Coturnix japonica: one gene and its partners. The protein of the gene in region 2 purifies or fractionates together with the protein of the main gene of each other region. This does not show direct contact. Links are inferred from orthologs where the notes say so. Each region holds a gene or a part of one and is shown on either strand. Other genes may lie near its edges.

Evidence for each region. Proteins that work in one complex are often made in the same cells at the same time.
Region 1: the proteins of FAM98A (region 2) and NUFIP2 purify together in Homo sapiens (co-immunoprecipitation; 3 studies listed by BioGRID and IntAct, with this or other methods). This does not show direct contact. The link is inferred for Coturnix japonica from reciprocal best matches to the Homo sapiens genes FAM98A and NUFIP2.
Region 3: the proteins of FAM98A (region 2) and RTRAF purify together in Homo sapiens (affinity purification with mass spectrometry; 4 studies listed by BioGRID and IntAct, with this or other methods). This does not show direct contact. The link is inferred for Coturnix japonica from reciprocal best matches to the Homo sapiens genes FAM98A and RTRAF.
Region 4: the proteins of FAM98A (region 2) and ATXN2 purify together in Homo sapiens (co-immunoprecipitation; 3 studies listed by BioGRID and IntAct, counting the BioPlex papers as one, with this or other methods). This does not show direct contact. The link is inferred for Coturnix japonica from reciprocal best matches to the Homo sapiens genes FAM98A and ATXN2.

What each region holds. Positions count from the first base shown.
Region 1 is NC_029534.1:4,761,202-4,765,247, reverse strand, and holds the start of NUFIP2 (nuclear fragile X mental retardation-interacting protein 2), read left to right. Parts: upstream 1-1,234; 5' UTR 1,235-1,344; coding exon 1,345-1,528; exon of another isoform or gene 1,529-1,775; intron 1,776-3,077; coding exon 3,078-4,046. UniProt on the Homo sapiens protein: Binds RNA.
Region 2 is NC_029518.1:27,930,549-27,933,150, reverse strand, and holds the end of FAM98A (protein FAM98A), read right to left. Parts: intron 2,388-2,602; coding exon 1,641-2,387; 3' UTR 503-1,640; downstream 1-502. UniProt on the Homo sapiens protein: Positively stimulates PRMT1-induced protein arginine methylation. Involved in skeletal homeostasis. Positively regulates lysosome peripheral distribution and ruffled border formation in osteoclasts.
Region 3 is NC_029520.1:52,699,827-52,704,047, forward strand, and holds the start of RTRAF (RNA transcription, translation and transport factor protein), read left to right. Parts: upstream 1-1,409; 5' UTR 1,410-1,609; coding exon 1,610-1,670; intron 1,671-3,485; coding exon 3,486-3,610; intron 3,611-4,221. UniProt on the Homo sapiens protein: RNA-binding protein involved in modulation of mRNA transcription by Polymerase II. Component of the tRNA-splicing ligase complex and is required for tRNA ligation.
Region 4 is NC_029530.1:5,336,591-5,340,635, forward strand, and holds the start of ATXN2 (ataxin-2), read right to left. Parts: upstream 2,813-4,045; 5' UTR 2,706-2,812; intron 1,316-2,705; 5' UTR 1,289-1,315; coding exon 1,256-1,288; intron 563-1,255; coding exon 491-562; intron 252-490; coding exon 101-251; intron 1-100. UniProt on the Homo sapiens protein: Involved in EGFR trafficking, acting as negative regulator of endocytic EGFR internalization at the plasma membrane.

The sequences.
Region 1 (4,046 bases), on a different chromosome or scaffold from region 2:
CATCTGGTTTCTCCTGCTCTGGATGCTCCATGTGATGCACACACAGAGCGGAGCTTCTAAGGAGAGAAAGTCCCTTCATGTCCAGCCATCCCTCTGAGCTTTGCATTTAGATTTCTGCTGTCTCTGTGTGCGGAGATGATTTGTCCATAATTACTCGCTTTCTCCAGAGTCCTTTGAAGCTCCTGTCTCCAAACCAGTCCCTTACATTGAGAATAAACCACTTCCAAGCCACCAATAAAATGTGAGCTGTGATTAAAGCCCGGCTCCTCGCTTCGGGAGCTGTTTCCTAAGTGAGGTCAGCACAGTAGGAAGTTTTGCCTTGTGTGCAGGGTTATGCAGGAGGACAACCCCTGTGCTGCACTGAGGTGTGGGGGGGCTCTGTGTGATGCAGGACGGAGCTGAGCTTTATTGAAATATATGGGGTTGTTATGTGGGAGAAGGTAGGAAGTGGTGGTTAAGGGCGGTCTGTGCCCTCTGGATACTCTTTGGGAGGATATTGTGATGGGCTTCAATTCTATCGCCCTGTTTGCTGCAGGAGGTTAAAGCCGCACTGAGCGCTGCCTGCATGGGGATCTCCATCTGACCCAGACAAAACGTGGGCTCACTTTTGGGTCTCTCCATCCCAAGTGTGTCCCCCTGGCGACCCCCCATCCCCCTGCGCTGCTAATGGAGCCCAAATCCCACCGCCCCGTTGGGTGTCCGTGGGGAACGTGGGGTCCGCGTTGTTCCGCGTGGCCGTGGAGTGACACCCCAAAGCTCTGGGGCTCCATTACCCAGCCGGGACCGTCCCCCGTGGGCTCATTTGGCCGCGGACATCACGGAGCTGCAGAGGGGGGCAAGGACGGCGGGTCGGTGCCGCTCGGAGCCGGGCGTTGAGCTGGACGCCGCTGGGGCTCCGTTCCGAGCCGGGTCACACCGTGATGCTGCGATTGAAGCCGGGGGAAGCAAAACACTCGGACTCACCCCACGCCGCCTTCCCACCCCGCCCCGCTCAGCGCCTTTCCGCGCTCCCAAACCTCCCCCGTTTATTCGGGAATCTCGGTATCTCTCCGCTCCCCCCATACCCCCTATATCCCCCTATACCCCCTATATCCCCCCATATCCCCCCGCTCCCCAGCACCGCCCCCTCCCCGCTCTCCTCTTCCCGTTCCGCCGCTCTCCTCGCTGCGGGGCGGTGCTGGGGGCGGTGCCGTTCTGTGATTGCAGCTCCGTTTCTCCCATCCCTCCCCCCCCCGCCTCCCCCGCGCCACCCGGAGCCTCGTCCCCGCTCCGCCGCTCGGCCCAGCAGCGACACAGCGCCCAGCCCGGCCCCGCAAAGCTTCTTCCCCCCCTTCCCCTCCCCCAATGGAGGAGCAGCCCCCGCACCACCCGCACCACCACCACCACGGGCACCACCACCACCACCACCACCACCCGCACCACCGGCACTTCTGCTATTACCCGCAGAGCTCCTTCCTGCCGCCGCCCGACGGCCGGGCCCAGCCCAAAGCGACGCTCCGACACCCGGAGGGGCCCAAGCGGAGAACAGGTGCGGGGCGGGGGGCGGCGGGCGGCTCCTGGGGGGGGGGCTTCATCCTTCATCCATCCTCCATCCTTCATCATCCTCCTCCCCCGGCCCGGCTGGAAGCTTCTCCGCCGCGCTGGGGCCGCTTCCTGTCCGCCATGTTGGAGCCGGCGCGGCTGCGGGCGGCGCGGGGCACGTGGGGCTGCGGAGCGGTGCGGGATGATGCGGGACGGGGTGGGAGCGGGGGGAGCGGGACGGGGAGCGGGGACAGGAGGAATGTGCGGGGGGAGCGGGCGGGACACACACGGTGTGCGGGGCGGCGGGACCGCGTGGGGCGGCGAGAGCGATAACGGGGGGGAAAGGCCGGGCCGGGCCTGCGCTGCGCGGGGCATGGACGGGACCAGCCCCTTTTACCCCGCACCCCCCTTTACCCCACACCCCGTCCCTTTGCACGCCCCTTCCTCGCCGCCCCCCCCCCGCCCCCCCGGCCCAGTTGTTGATTTGGGGAGAGAACGGAGCGGCCTCGGGAATTGGAGCCTGGAAGTGCTGACACGCCGAACCGAACCGAACCGGGCCAAACGTGCGGTCAGAGGGATCCACGTGTGTGCGGTCCCATAAGGATTCCCTTCCATAAGGATTCCCTTCCATAAGGATTCCCTTCCATAAGGATTCCCTTCCATTAGGATTCCCGTATCCCTTAGACCTGGAGCTCTGACATCTGCCCCGCATCTGAGGCTCCAGGATGCACAGATAAGGGCTGCTCCATCCAGCAGCGTTGGCGATGACCAGAGCATCCATCCCCAAACCGCAGCTCAGCCCAATCTGCTGCTGTGCCGGCACGTGTCCCCTTTGAGCGCTGCTTTTCGCGGTGCTGGAGGTGCCGTGGGCCCGGCCCGGTGCTGCAGGGACACGATGCCACCAGCTCCGGGCTGAGAGGAGCAGCCCCTGTTAAAGCATCCTGGGAATTTCCTCTGCGTGACCTGGAAATGGTGCTGATGAAATCGCTCTCTGGATTGCGATGGGCTTTGCAGGGCTGCCTGCTTTCCTCTCCTCGCATCCCTGTGTCCCTCCTGCTTTGTTTTGCTCCTTGTGTCCAACAACGCGCTGCTGTCCCTGTGCTGTGTGTGAATCCATGGGTGGTGCTCAGCCCTGCTCTGTGTGGATGGAGATGGTGTGGATTGGGCAGCAATAGGACAAGGGGGAATGGGTTGAAACTGAGACAGGGGAGGTTTGGGTTGGATCTGAGGAGAGGGTGGTGACACACTGTAGTGTGTCCCATGTTGCCCAAGGAGGCTGTGGGTGCCCCATCCCTGCAGGCATTCAAGGCCAGGCTGGATGTGGCTCTGGGCAGCCTGGTTGGTGACCCTGCACACAGCAGGGGGTTGGAACCAGATGATCATTGCGTTCCTTTGCAACCCAGGCCATGCTGTGCTCCTGCGGTGGTTTTATGGGGGAGCTGATGTTTCCCTATTTCAGAACACCTTGAGGAAACGGGGCGCAGCTTGTTGCAGTCAGAACTTTAATGCTGCACATTCTCATCTTTGCTCTTTTGTCTCTTCTTGGTTTCTTCCAGGCTATGGAGAGCTGAACGGTAACGCAGGGGACAGAGAGGTGTCACTGAAGTCTCTGTGCTCAGAGGAGACCACCAGCCCCACGTCCAGGGTGCCCAATGGCAGCCAGCAGCCCGCAGACCCCAACGTGACCCCGAAGCCGTCTGTGAAGGGCAGCTCTCTGGGGAAAGCCGCCATCAAACCCAAGAATTTTGTTCAGAAAAATAGCATGGACAAAAAGAATGAGAAGCCCTACGACAGCAAAGTGAGGGAGGCTCAGCCTGCCGACAAGCAGGACGGGGTGTCCGTCCCCAACGGCGTGGTGAGCGGCGGTGCCACCTACATCACCAATGGCTACGTGGGCAAAGGGGGGGCCGACAACGACGGGAGCGGCTCCGAGAGTGGCTACACCACCCCAAAGAAAAGGAAAGGCCGGCGCAACAGCGCCAAGGGCTGCGAGAGCTTGAACCTCACGCAGGACAAAGTAATGCAACAGGAGGTCGGCACGCCGGCCCTCAAACAGGAACTGGAGAGTTTCAAGCCTGATTATAGCGAGCAAAAGGGGAACCGAATTGAGAATACGAAGCCTGTTTGGAAATACGAGGCGGGGGGCGGCGGGGCGGGCAGGGGGAAACCAGGAATTGGAGACGTGCAGAGGAAAAACTCGGATGCCAAACCTGGGATTAGCGGCAAGAAGTTTGATGAGCGGCCCAAAGGGAAGCACGCTTCGTCGGCCGCGTCTAAGGAGGACTCGTGGACCTTATTTAAACCACCCCCGGTTTTTCCAGTGGACAATAGCAGTGCTAAAATCGTTCCCAAAATAAGTTATGCAAGCAAAGTTAAGGAGAACCTCAACAAAGCAGCTCAGCCCCCATCTGCGTCTTCGTCATCGTCGTCTTCATCATCTGCCGGGGAAGCTCAGCCCGCCCCGTCCAGCCGGCTGTCCCAGGTCCCCATGTCTGCTATGAAGTCCGTCACTTCTGCCAGCTTCT
Region 2 (2,602 bases):
CTCATATTATTTCAGTAATCCGAGGAACTTCTATCTGCATCCATCTAAATTCAGACCTCTGGATGTTTCAAGTAGCCCAAGGGATTGCCACCAGGTCAGTCTCTACTACAGCTACCCAGGCAAGAACCTAACCTTGCCACAAGCCCAGACAGCATCAGAAGAGCTCCCAGATGCATACCATGTACATGTGTCATGAAGGAGCCATAGCCTGACGATGGCAGAGCTTAATTCACATGGAAACCTCTAGTGAGGGAGACACTACTGCTACACCAAATCAGAGAAGGATGAGGACAAACCCCAAAACAATGAAGATCCATTCCTACCATTCACTCCTGTTCTGACAGCTTTTAAGGAGGCAAAATGCACAGTACGCCTGAGATGATTTGACCGCCTAAGAGATTAAAACAAAAACTAGGTGAAACAATCAGAAATACCTAAAAGAGTTCCCACCTACTGCAGAAACTGCTTTTTACTCATCACCAGAAGGAAAAGAAACCAAAAGCAGAGGGGAACATACAGACACTTTTATTGCTCACCCTTTATACAACAGCAAACCTTCAGCCATTTTCTTTCACAGCTTGACAATGTTTATGTACACAAAAAACCCAGCAAGAAGCATTATGTGGCTTTCAGTAAAGGAAAAAAAACAACAAAACAAACCAAACCCAACACATTAGAACATCAAACTCAGCCAGGCTTTGTTTTCTGCAGCAATAATCAAAGGGCTTCCTCCAGGCAGGAACTAAACTTCCCAGGCCGTAGTGCATTTCTTTAAAAAAGACAACCCCCAAAACAAATTGCCCTGGATCTGCTGAGCCAGTGGTATTAACTTGCAAATAAAATAATTTCACTTTTTGTTTTTTCTTCTAGCTGATTTCAAGTAAAAAATTAAGTTTGAAGGAGGAGCAACTTGTTTTGGATGGATGCAGGTCAGTTTGAATTGCTACACCTAACTACAGGCCTATGTACACTACCAGTTCACAATTTAGCTTAGTTTTAAGTGATCTTTGCAGATTTTGGCGGCGGTAAGTCTTCAGACTTGAGAAGGTGGGAAAAAAATGGTTTGATGTAAGATAAGGCTACCAAATGTGACATCTACAGCAGAGCTCATATAATAGATAACAAACCTGTCTGTTAGAGGGAAGTTGCTCTGTGGGCCTGCATGTGTGTGTAACTTTGATTAAAACAGGACAGCAATCCAAAAGCAATATTCAGCACTGATTTTAGGTCATGTAACTGAACAATGGCTAGGGGATGCAGAAATTCCATTGTATATTGCAACATATAATTGTGACTAGACCAGTCTTCATTTTTCTCAAATCAAAGTGTCAAGCAAAACACAGCAGGTAGTTTTGGAATCAATGTACTTTGAGCAGATGTCAATACAACAACAAAAGAGCATGACTATTAATTTACGATTAGGTGGAGTGCAGTGAGTAGTTATGACACATTCAATTCAGACAGACTGGGGGGGAAGGAAAGTCTACAGAAAGCTGTACTTAGTTCAGCACATAACATCCCACCCCAAAAGATTCTGCCTGACACATACAAACCTGTACTAATTCAAAAGTGATTAAATCAGGACTCTGAAACAAGGTTTTATTATCTGAGCTCTGCTGAAGCAAAAGGTTTTAGCAGCCTCAACTTGTGAAATGTCTTCCTTGTCCAAAACCAGACTGATTATACTGATAGCCTCCATGCTGGAAATGTTGCTCAAATTGCCCACCTTGATTAAAATTCTGTCCACCTCTGCCTCCCCAGCCTCCTCCTTGACCGCCACGGCCACCCCGCCCACCACGGCCACCCCGCCCTCCTCCACGGCCACCCCCTCGGTCACTGTGGGACCCGCCATCTTGGTATCTGTTGTCTTGCTGGTAGCCACCACCTCCTTGGTAGCCACTTCCCGTGTATGAACATGACTGGTAGCCACCATAGCCTCCTCCTTGATAGCCACCGCCACCACCATGGTAGCCACCCGTCTGAAAACCTGCATCTCTGTAATTGCTATCCCTGTAGTTGCCATCCTGGTAGCCACCACCTCCACCATCTGTCCACCCTCCCTGGAGTTTGTTTCCTCTTCCACCTCCTCTGCCACCATGATCATAACCGCCACGTCCTCCTCGCCCTCCTCGATCATGGCCTCCTTGATCATGACCCCCTCGTTCATGACCTCCTCTTCCTCCTCGGTCATGACCACCGTGGCTATGACCTCCATGGTCATAACCTCCTCGCCCTCCATATGAGGATTCATAGCCACCTCTTCCTCCTCGGCCACCACCTTGTTGTGGACCAGCCTCTGGTCTTTTCTGCCAGGGTGGCATCTCAGGAGGTGGTGGTTCAATTTCATTGGGCCTTCCTCCTCTATCAGGTACTCTGCCCATTAGCACCTGTAAAGAGAAAGGAACAACTGTCTTAAGAGTTGTAAGATCTCACAGAAGCAGGGTACTTTGTTAATTTTTGTTAGTCTTGAAGGACACTCAGTACTGATAATGGAATTAAGTTAACAGAATACACATCAGCAGCAGGGCAGTGGGCAGTGCCATATTCCTAGTAAAGCGTATATATGATCTGATTATATTCACATCTGTCTTCCCACTTTCTT
Region 3 (4,221 bases), on a different chromosome or scaffold from region 2:
CAGTAGCACTGGGATCCCATAAGGTACTCTGGGCTCCGCATTAACCCCATAAAATCATAGAATCATTGAGGTTAGAAAAGACCTCTAAGATCATTAAGCCCAACCGCCAACCCGTCACCGCCACACCCACTAAGCCACATCCCCATCAGCCCCAAACCACGTCTACCCAAGAGGGCAATAGTCTTTAGGTACCTTTCTGAGAATCTTTCTAGCCCGTTTCAAGTGTGTTTTGGGTTTTCTACCTTTTCATACTCTTTTTCTAGCTCCGGTTGGCTGTGGGATGGAGCGCCCGGGGCCGGCCCCGCTTGTGGTGTTCCCGGGCCGTGTAAATACCCCCACCCCTTTGTCTTGGTCATTGTGATGCCGAATTTCTGCTGAGCGCTGCCATGGTTTGTAAGAAGTTTTTTAATGACTCATATCTTTTACAACAGGAATTCTTAATACATCAACAAAGAGTAATGCGGCCGCGTTCACATATGGCTCGTTTCCCCATACAAAAGCCCTCAGCTGCCTCCATCCCGGGCATGGAAGGGAAAACCCATGGAACATCGGTGTGGGATTTGCCCTCCGCCCATTGGTGTGGGGTTGGGGGGAAGGCAGCGCGGGGAGGTCGGCGTCGCGGTGTAGCACATCCCCGTCCCGCGTGGTCTGTGTACTCGTTGGAAATAAAGTTGGGATTTGTTTCAAGGCTGCGGTGGTGATGCTGTGTGGGCATGGGGGGCAACGGGAGGCTGCAGGGGGGGTGACCTGGGCTGGGTCCTGCTGGTTGTGGGGGGGATTGGGAGTGAGAGAGAGTGGGGTCTGGGCTCTGGAGAAGGGCAGTGCAAGACGAGGCAAGGCAAAGGAAGGCAAGGCAAGGCAAAGGAAGGCAAGGCAAGGCAAGGCAAGGAAGGCAAGCAAGCAAAGGAAGGCAGCAAAGGAGGCCAGGCAGCAAAGAAGGGCAAGGCAAGGCAAAGGAAGGCAAGGCAAGGCAAAGGAAGGCAAGGCAAGGCAAGGCAAGGCAAGGCAAAGCCCTGCCCTCTCATGCCTACTTCCCTTCCCCAGTGCTGGCCATGCCGCAATGACTATCTTATCCAACTGTCAAGATCTTGAACATGAAGGATTATATCCAGCCGTATTATGAAGCTGAATCCCCTCTGCTGGTCGTCAGCTCCCACAAGGCAGTAGGAACACACGGGCACAGGTTGCACAGACAGCTCTGGTACCCCAGCCCTGCTGGTGCCCGAGGTCACACATGAGCCCAGTGCAGCTGAGCACGGTGGGCACCCAGCCCGCAATGGGGGTGGGCTGTAAGGTCCCCCCAGTGCCCTCCATCGCCCCACGCCCCGCCCCCAAGGCCAGCACAGGCCACGCCCCCTTCCACAGGCCACGCCCCCAAATAGGCCACACCCCCACTGCCCCCCCCCGCCGCCGCGTCGTTACAGCTGGTCGTACATCCGCTTCCGTCCCGTCTGCTTTCTCCGTGCTTCGATTGGTCTTCTTAACAGCCGCTCAGCTCACGGGAACCAATAGGAGACGAATTAGACGGTATCGGGGCGGTACTTCCTGTCCGACCCGGCGGCTCGTTCTGAGCGCGGTGAGCGGCGGGTCCGGCCGTGGTGGCAGCGCCATGTTCCGCCGCAAGCTGTCGGCGCTCGATTACCACAACCCGGGCGGCTTCAACTGCAGGGGTGAGGGCCGGGGGAGCGGGCTGGGGCTGCACACAGCGGGGGGCGCTCGGGGTGTGCGGAGAGGCCTAAGCTGAAGGCAGGGAGGCCGGGCTGTGCTGTGTGAGGCCTGCTCGGGGCTGGACGGAGCCCCGGGTCGGCGCTGCCGCTGGGCTCTGCTCATTGACCCTGGTTAGTGGGGGGGGTCCGGGGTCGGTCTGTGCTGTGTGTGAGTAGGGCAGGAGTGTTCAGGGCCGGGTTGGACGGGGCCATGGGCAACCTGATCTAGTACAGGTGTATGTTTGGTGGCCCTGCCGGGCAGGGGGTTGGAAATACGTGATCCTTGAGGTCCCTTCCAACCCGGGTCATTCTGTGAGTTCCCCTGGCAGCACTATGAGGTGATCGAGGTGATCCTGCTCCTCTGCTCTGCGCTCTGAGGCCTCACCTGGGGCGCTGTGTCCACATGGGGGGTGCTGTGTATGGGGGTGATGTGGAGCTGTAGAACCGTGTCCATAGGAAGGCCATAGAAGTGATGGAACACCTCCCTGTGAGGACAGGCTGAGAGCTGGGGATGTACAGCACGGAGAAGAGAAGGCTCCAGGGAGAGCTGAGAGCCAGTGTTTAAAGGGGCTGTAAGAAAGGGGTACAGGCTCTATCAGGCTGTGGTGACAGGACAAGGGGAAATGGTTTCAAACTAAAAAAGGGGGATTTGAACTGAAGTTAAGTTGTTTTACAGTAAGAGCAGTGAGGTGCCGACTCAGGTTGCCCAGAGAGGTGGTGGTGCCCCATCCCTGCAGACACCCAAGGTCAGGTTGGATGGGGCTCTGAGCACCTGGTGGAGCTGTGGGTGTCCCTGTTTGTTGCAGGGAGTGGGACCAGATGGCCTTTAAGGGTCCTGTCCAACTCAAACTGCTCTATATTCAACTCAAACTGGTCTTTGTAAGGGATCATCTCTCCCTCAGTGCTTCTGGTTGGCTCGTTGCGCTTTGAAAAGATCTTGTTTACTGCCAGCTTTGTGTGTTGTGCATTTTGAGCTCGTCGCTGACGTTTCTTTCTCCTCAGAGGTTTGTTTTGTTGGTGTAGAAGCTGTTAAAGTTCTTACTGAGAGTTTTCCTGTGTGTACATTGTGGCTGTTTCTTACAGCACATTCAGTGGAAGTCGGGTGTTCGTTTCACTTAGAGGATACACTCCTGACAGGTCGTAATAGCACAGCAGCCTTGTCCCTGATGGGGAAGCGTTTTGCTTATCACAGCCTGAGCTACTGCAGGAGGATATTTATCTCATTAATCCAGATCACTGAAATTCATCCAGTGCCAAAGTTTCATGGGTGGTTCTCAAGATGCTGGTGGTACCAAATACTGCAAATCACAGATGCAGAGAAGTTGCTTTGTCCATTACTGAACCTTTGGACCACAGTCTTTGTATTGTGGAGTTCCAACTCCAAATGGTGAAATGTTGGCTCAACAACCAAGAGAAGAGGGAAGAAAATGCTTCTCCACAGTCATGGGATGAGGGCACTTTGTTCTTAGGGACAGACAGGGATTTGTTGCAGCATGTGATGAGTTTGTCCACGCAACAGAGTTGGGCACTGAAATCCTCAGTGTCACTGTTTTACTTCTTTGCTTAGTAACACCTATATTTGTATTCCTAATAAAAACAGTCTCTTAGCTGATGCCTTTTAGTGTTGTCCACTAACTGTGGCCAATTCCAAGTCACTTGAGAAAGGAAGAAAGCTCAGAGTGTTGAGTTTTGGTCAGAAGTTACACTGGGCTGTGTGATTTCGAGGTAGTTGGTTTTGCCCTTAAGGTTAATTGTTGCTGTTTTTACTTCTCCCTGCAGATGAAACGGAATTCAGAAATTTTATTGTCTGGCTGGAGGACCAGAAAATCAGACACTACAAGATTGAAGACCGAGGGAATCTAAGGAACATACACAGCGATGACTGGCCCAAATCATTTGAGAAGGTATTTTGTTCCAAACACAAATGTCTCTTACCTGAATGACAGTCCAGGGTTTCTGTAGTTGCTGAGTGTAAATGAGTGGCCATTTATCCCATCTCTGAATGTTTTCTGTCTCAAGGAATCGAAATATATAATTGAGGCCACTGCAGGAGTTAAAGATGGAAGAACGCTTTATGTGTAAATTTCACTCAGCCCTGTTTTTGCAATGATAGCATCTATCCTGATATTTCTTGCCTAAATTGATTTAGCTTTTACTTTAAAAACTGGCTTCAACTAAACAGCTTTTATTCTGTGCTTTGGTTTTTATGTAGCAAAATAAAAATGGATTAGCACAATATGGGCTTTACAAGTATATGAAATGAAGCTGCTGAAGCTCCTCTCTGCCCCTACAGTCATGTCAGTAGATGATTTTTCACTGCTAACATGAACTGTGGCAAGCAGCCATAGCTCTGGTTGTGATCTCCTGTGTGCTTGTGGGCATTTTGGGTCACTGTGGGGCTGCTGTGCTGGATTCCATTTCCTTTCTCTGACAACAGTCATGTGAGGAACTGAACACACTGCTCCTAATGCTCAGTGCCCATTCATCTCACTTCTGTTCCCTGGAACCATTTGTT
Region 4 (4,045 bases), on a different chromosome or scaffold from region 2:
TTGAAAGATATAAAAAGCATTAAAAAAAAACCTTTTGAAATCTTGACTTACAATCTTAAGACATAGATAACTTTAAGAATCTTAAAAGAAAAATGTATACCTCTTCTTGCGTAATTGGTATCCATATCCTTAAAATGCACCATAACAAAATCTGAAGACTTGAATAAAATACTTTCTAGTATGTCTTCACGTTTTGGCCCCAAACTGGATTCTGCAGTTTTCCGATGAGCAGCATCAAGCACTAAATCACACTAGTAAAGATAAAAAGAATATCCTAATTGGATACACCACACACTACTGGTAACTCACATCCTTGAAAAAAAAGCACACATTTACAGAAATTTGCAAAAGTGAATCTGCATGTGTAAAATTTGACATGGATCAGTCAGAATAATTGATAATAAATATTCCAACTTAATTAAGAATTGATTATACTGTATTAGTACCTTTCAAAAGAGGGAAGAGTCAAAAAGGAAAAAAAAGCCTTTACCTTAGGACTGTAGGTTTTAAAAACTCCTTCATATATACCACCATTTTTCACCTGTACTTCACATTTGGATCCCTAGAATGCAAGAAAAATCCAAGTGTAGCACTCTGTCAAGCCTGACAAATGACACAAGTGATTTTCTCAAAGAATATATATTTACAGAAGCACAATGGGTAAAAACAGAGCTTAGCTTTCAGCTGAATCTACTTTTTCAACATTCGCCCATTTACAAATATGTCTCTGCATGCCACAGATACAAACACTTTGGTATGTCCCAGACTTTATTAAAGATCCTCACGGAAGTATTTTCAGCACACACAAGACTTTTGATTAGCTATGCATGCATGCAAACAAGTCTCTGTGCAAAAACAAATCCATGCATATGCACAGGTACAGGTAAGGTTAAGTTTTATCCCAGATTCCAGCTGCCATGGGACGGTCCGTATCACCAAGTTTTTAACACAAGGGATGAAGGGTTTCTATTCCCTATATATAAATTCATTGCTTATTCATAATCTCTCTGGAGACAGAAAATTCAAAACACGACCAATGAGCGTAAGAAATCTGCCATCCCAAATATAATCTGCAGTTTTCCAAGCCAAAAATACACAATAGCTATTACTATGACTGTTTAAATTTCAATCTTGGAACAAGATGCCCACTGCTGAACTTTAATATTCACTCCATTATATTACAATTAGTGTAATATTTAACAATTCTCTGTCACTATAGAAACTGTTTACACGCCTTGCAAATATGAAGACTTACAACAACTGATGTAAGTATGTGAACCATTCTCATGTTTGCATAGATGCCATCAAAAGAAATCTGAAAAAAAAAAATATAATAATGAAGTTGTCATTTTTATGGGAAACACTCATAATTCAGAAAGGCAATGAGACAAGAACAAAGTCAGCTCTCAGCAGTAAATAGTAGCTGCTAGAAAGACAATGGTCAAAAAACCTTACTTGGTCAGTATACATTGAATTTAAGTCACAGCAAATGCCCAGAGGATTCTACCCTTTCTCTGATCGATTAAATATCAGATCACCCTTAAAAACATGAGAAACCTTACAGTGTGCCTCAACCCAATGTAAACTGGGGTAGAACTCACATACCAAGTCTCACAACTGGGAAGCCCTGCTAGCAGCCCTCCCTGGGAACAGGAACAAGGCACCTCAACTGCTGCAGTAGGAGAAATGTTCCCTGAACTACATCTTTGCAGCAAACAGACTTGATAACATGCACTAACAGGAGATGAAGTCATCAAGTTGTGAACTGCTAAAGAGCTACAAGGCCTATTATAAAACTAGTCAAAAAACATTCACCACAGTTCTAGAACATGGGAACCAATGCGTTTAAGGATGGTCCTGTGCTCAACACTCAGTAAGCCTAACATACAGAAAGCCTAACACTTCCTACTTGTGCATCACCTTTTTCACTGCTCTCCCTCATAGCCTCTTTATTTTTACTGAAGAGACTCATTATCTTCAATATACACTTACAGAGGTAAACTGTAGTCCTTTCAGCCCTTCCTACTCCTGCCCCATTCCCTAGAATTAGTCATCCTTGAGAATCAAGCCACTACCAAATTAGCAAATATTTGATTAGTGCAGTTCAAAGATCCGTTTTTTAAATCAAGACCCAGATCTTCACCTTCCACAAAACATTCTACAAACCAAGTTACATCTAGAGTGCAACAGTGTTTTAGCCTCGACAATAACTAAAGCTACAAACACAGGTAACAGAGGCTTAGCTACAATAACATTGGGTTAGCTATTTTGTAGTAAAGCTGAACACAATTGCTACTTCACTTTAACATAGTGTTGTCTCACCATCTTCAGTCCTCTGTTTAAAGAAGTCAGTATAGAGAGTTTCCACAGAGGCAACACTTTTGAATCTGTTCCCAAGTTAAATTTTATCCATGTATTTGCAATTATAATCACAAGAAAGATTTTTATTGGCATGTTTCAAACGTGTAAGAGTTCCTTCTCTCCCCGTTCTCCCAGGAGACTTAGATCATAGAATCAGAGACTGAGATGAATGCAAGATATTCTACATTTAAAAAAAAAAAAGTCTAAAATACTCATTGAGGTATCAAAAGGAAAAAAAAATTATGAGTATTCCACAATGTGCCATTTTCACACTGCTAAGAAAGGTCATCAGAAAAGATGTTTCCTTGTATCTAAAGAGGAAACAACAAGGAAAAAATACTCACTGTGGGCTGAGGAGGTCCTTTGCCACTGCTGCGACCTCTGAAAGAAAACACAGACAAAAGAAACAATTAAGAAATGTTGAAAAGGATTGATTTCTTAACAAATAAGAATTCAAAAACCCAATTTAACTTTGTGCTGAGAATGAGAGCAAAGAGAGCTCAAACTTAGCAGTAACGGAGCCTATAGCATCTATCCCTCAAATTACTGACCTACAAGCAATATCAGTAAATGGGTAAAAAGGTTACCTACAATAAATGGCAAAACAAAGAAAATACTAATGCTGTGTCATTACAAAAATCCAAAAATATTCTCTCTCAAGTAGAGTCCTGTAGCTAAGGGAAGTTCCAAAACCTATTGGTGCAGAGAACCTAAACTGCTTCACTGCACTTCCAGGCAATTTTTGCAGCCAATTCTCTAGGCCTGGTTTCTCCACACTGCCACCATCCTTCTCTGTTGAGGGTCACCCAAACAGCTGCCCACAAGGCCCAGTTCTCAGTCTCTACTTACAGCTTATGTGCTTGTAAGAGAGCACCAGCCACACACAGCCCCTTAAAACCAGTAACCACACACAAATCAGTGAACACATAACAACCTCAACACTTCAAAATGCCTTTAAATTAACTCGTAGACTCTTAATGCTCTGCAAACTGAGATGTAACAGTCTGTCCCTTTCAACTCAGCCCTAGAAGTGCCAACAACATCCCTGCAGCTGCCATAAAACCTCAGGCTGCCTGGTGTGCTTCATGTCCTCACATCCAAGCTCCCTCTGTACAAGAAGCAGCCCCAGTTCCAACCACTTTTTTGTAGTGATTAAGGTTTGTACAACAATAGGAAGCCCCACTTTCAAATCTTTCTTGTGATGACTGAGATTTGTATCACAATGACGACCTTAAGAGTGCACCCAACGAGAGTAAGGCAAAATGAAGTCTTCAATTTTATTTACGAAAACATCCATTTTTGCAACTGACTCACCTTCCAGATGCACATCCATTTGATCAGAGACCCAAAGAATCATGTTCATGTTTCAAAACAGTCAAACAATGCTGAAACCTAAACATCAAATGTGTTCAAATGCGTCTGAAAGCACTGTGCTGTAGCTGAAGGCAGCTGTGCTCCAAACCATGCCCTTATTATGAGCAGGACTCACAAGCTGGCCAAGGAATTCTCATGAGCACAAATTCTGCAGAAATCAGCAAGTCCATCGGAGGAGCAGAAATGTCCATAGCAAGGAAAAAACAAAACCAAAGCCCCACTGACCTATCACCTGAGCAGTTGGAGAAAGCAAGATTCTGAGCCCAGTGTGCCATCCTGTACAGCATCGCTCCCACCGATGACATTTGCT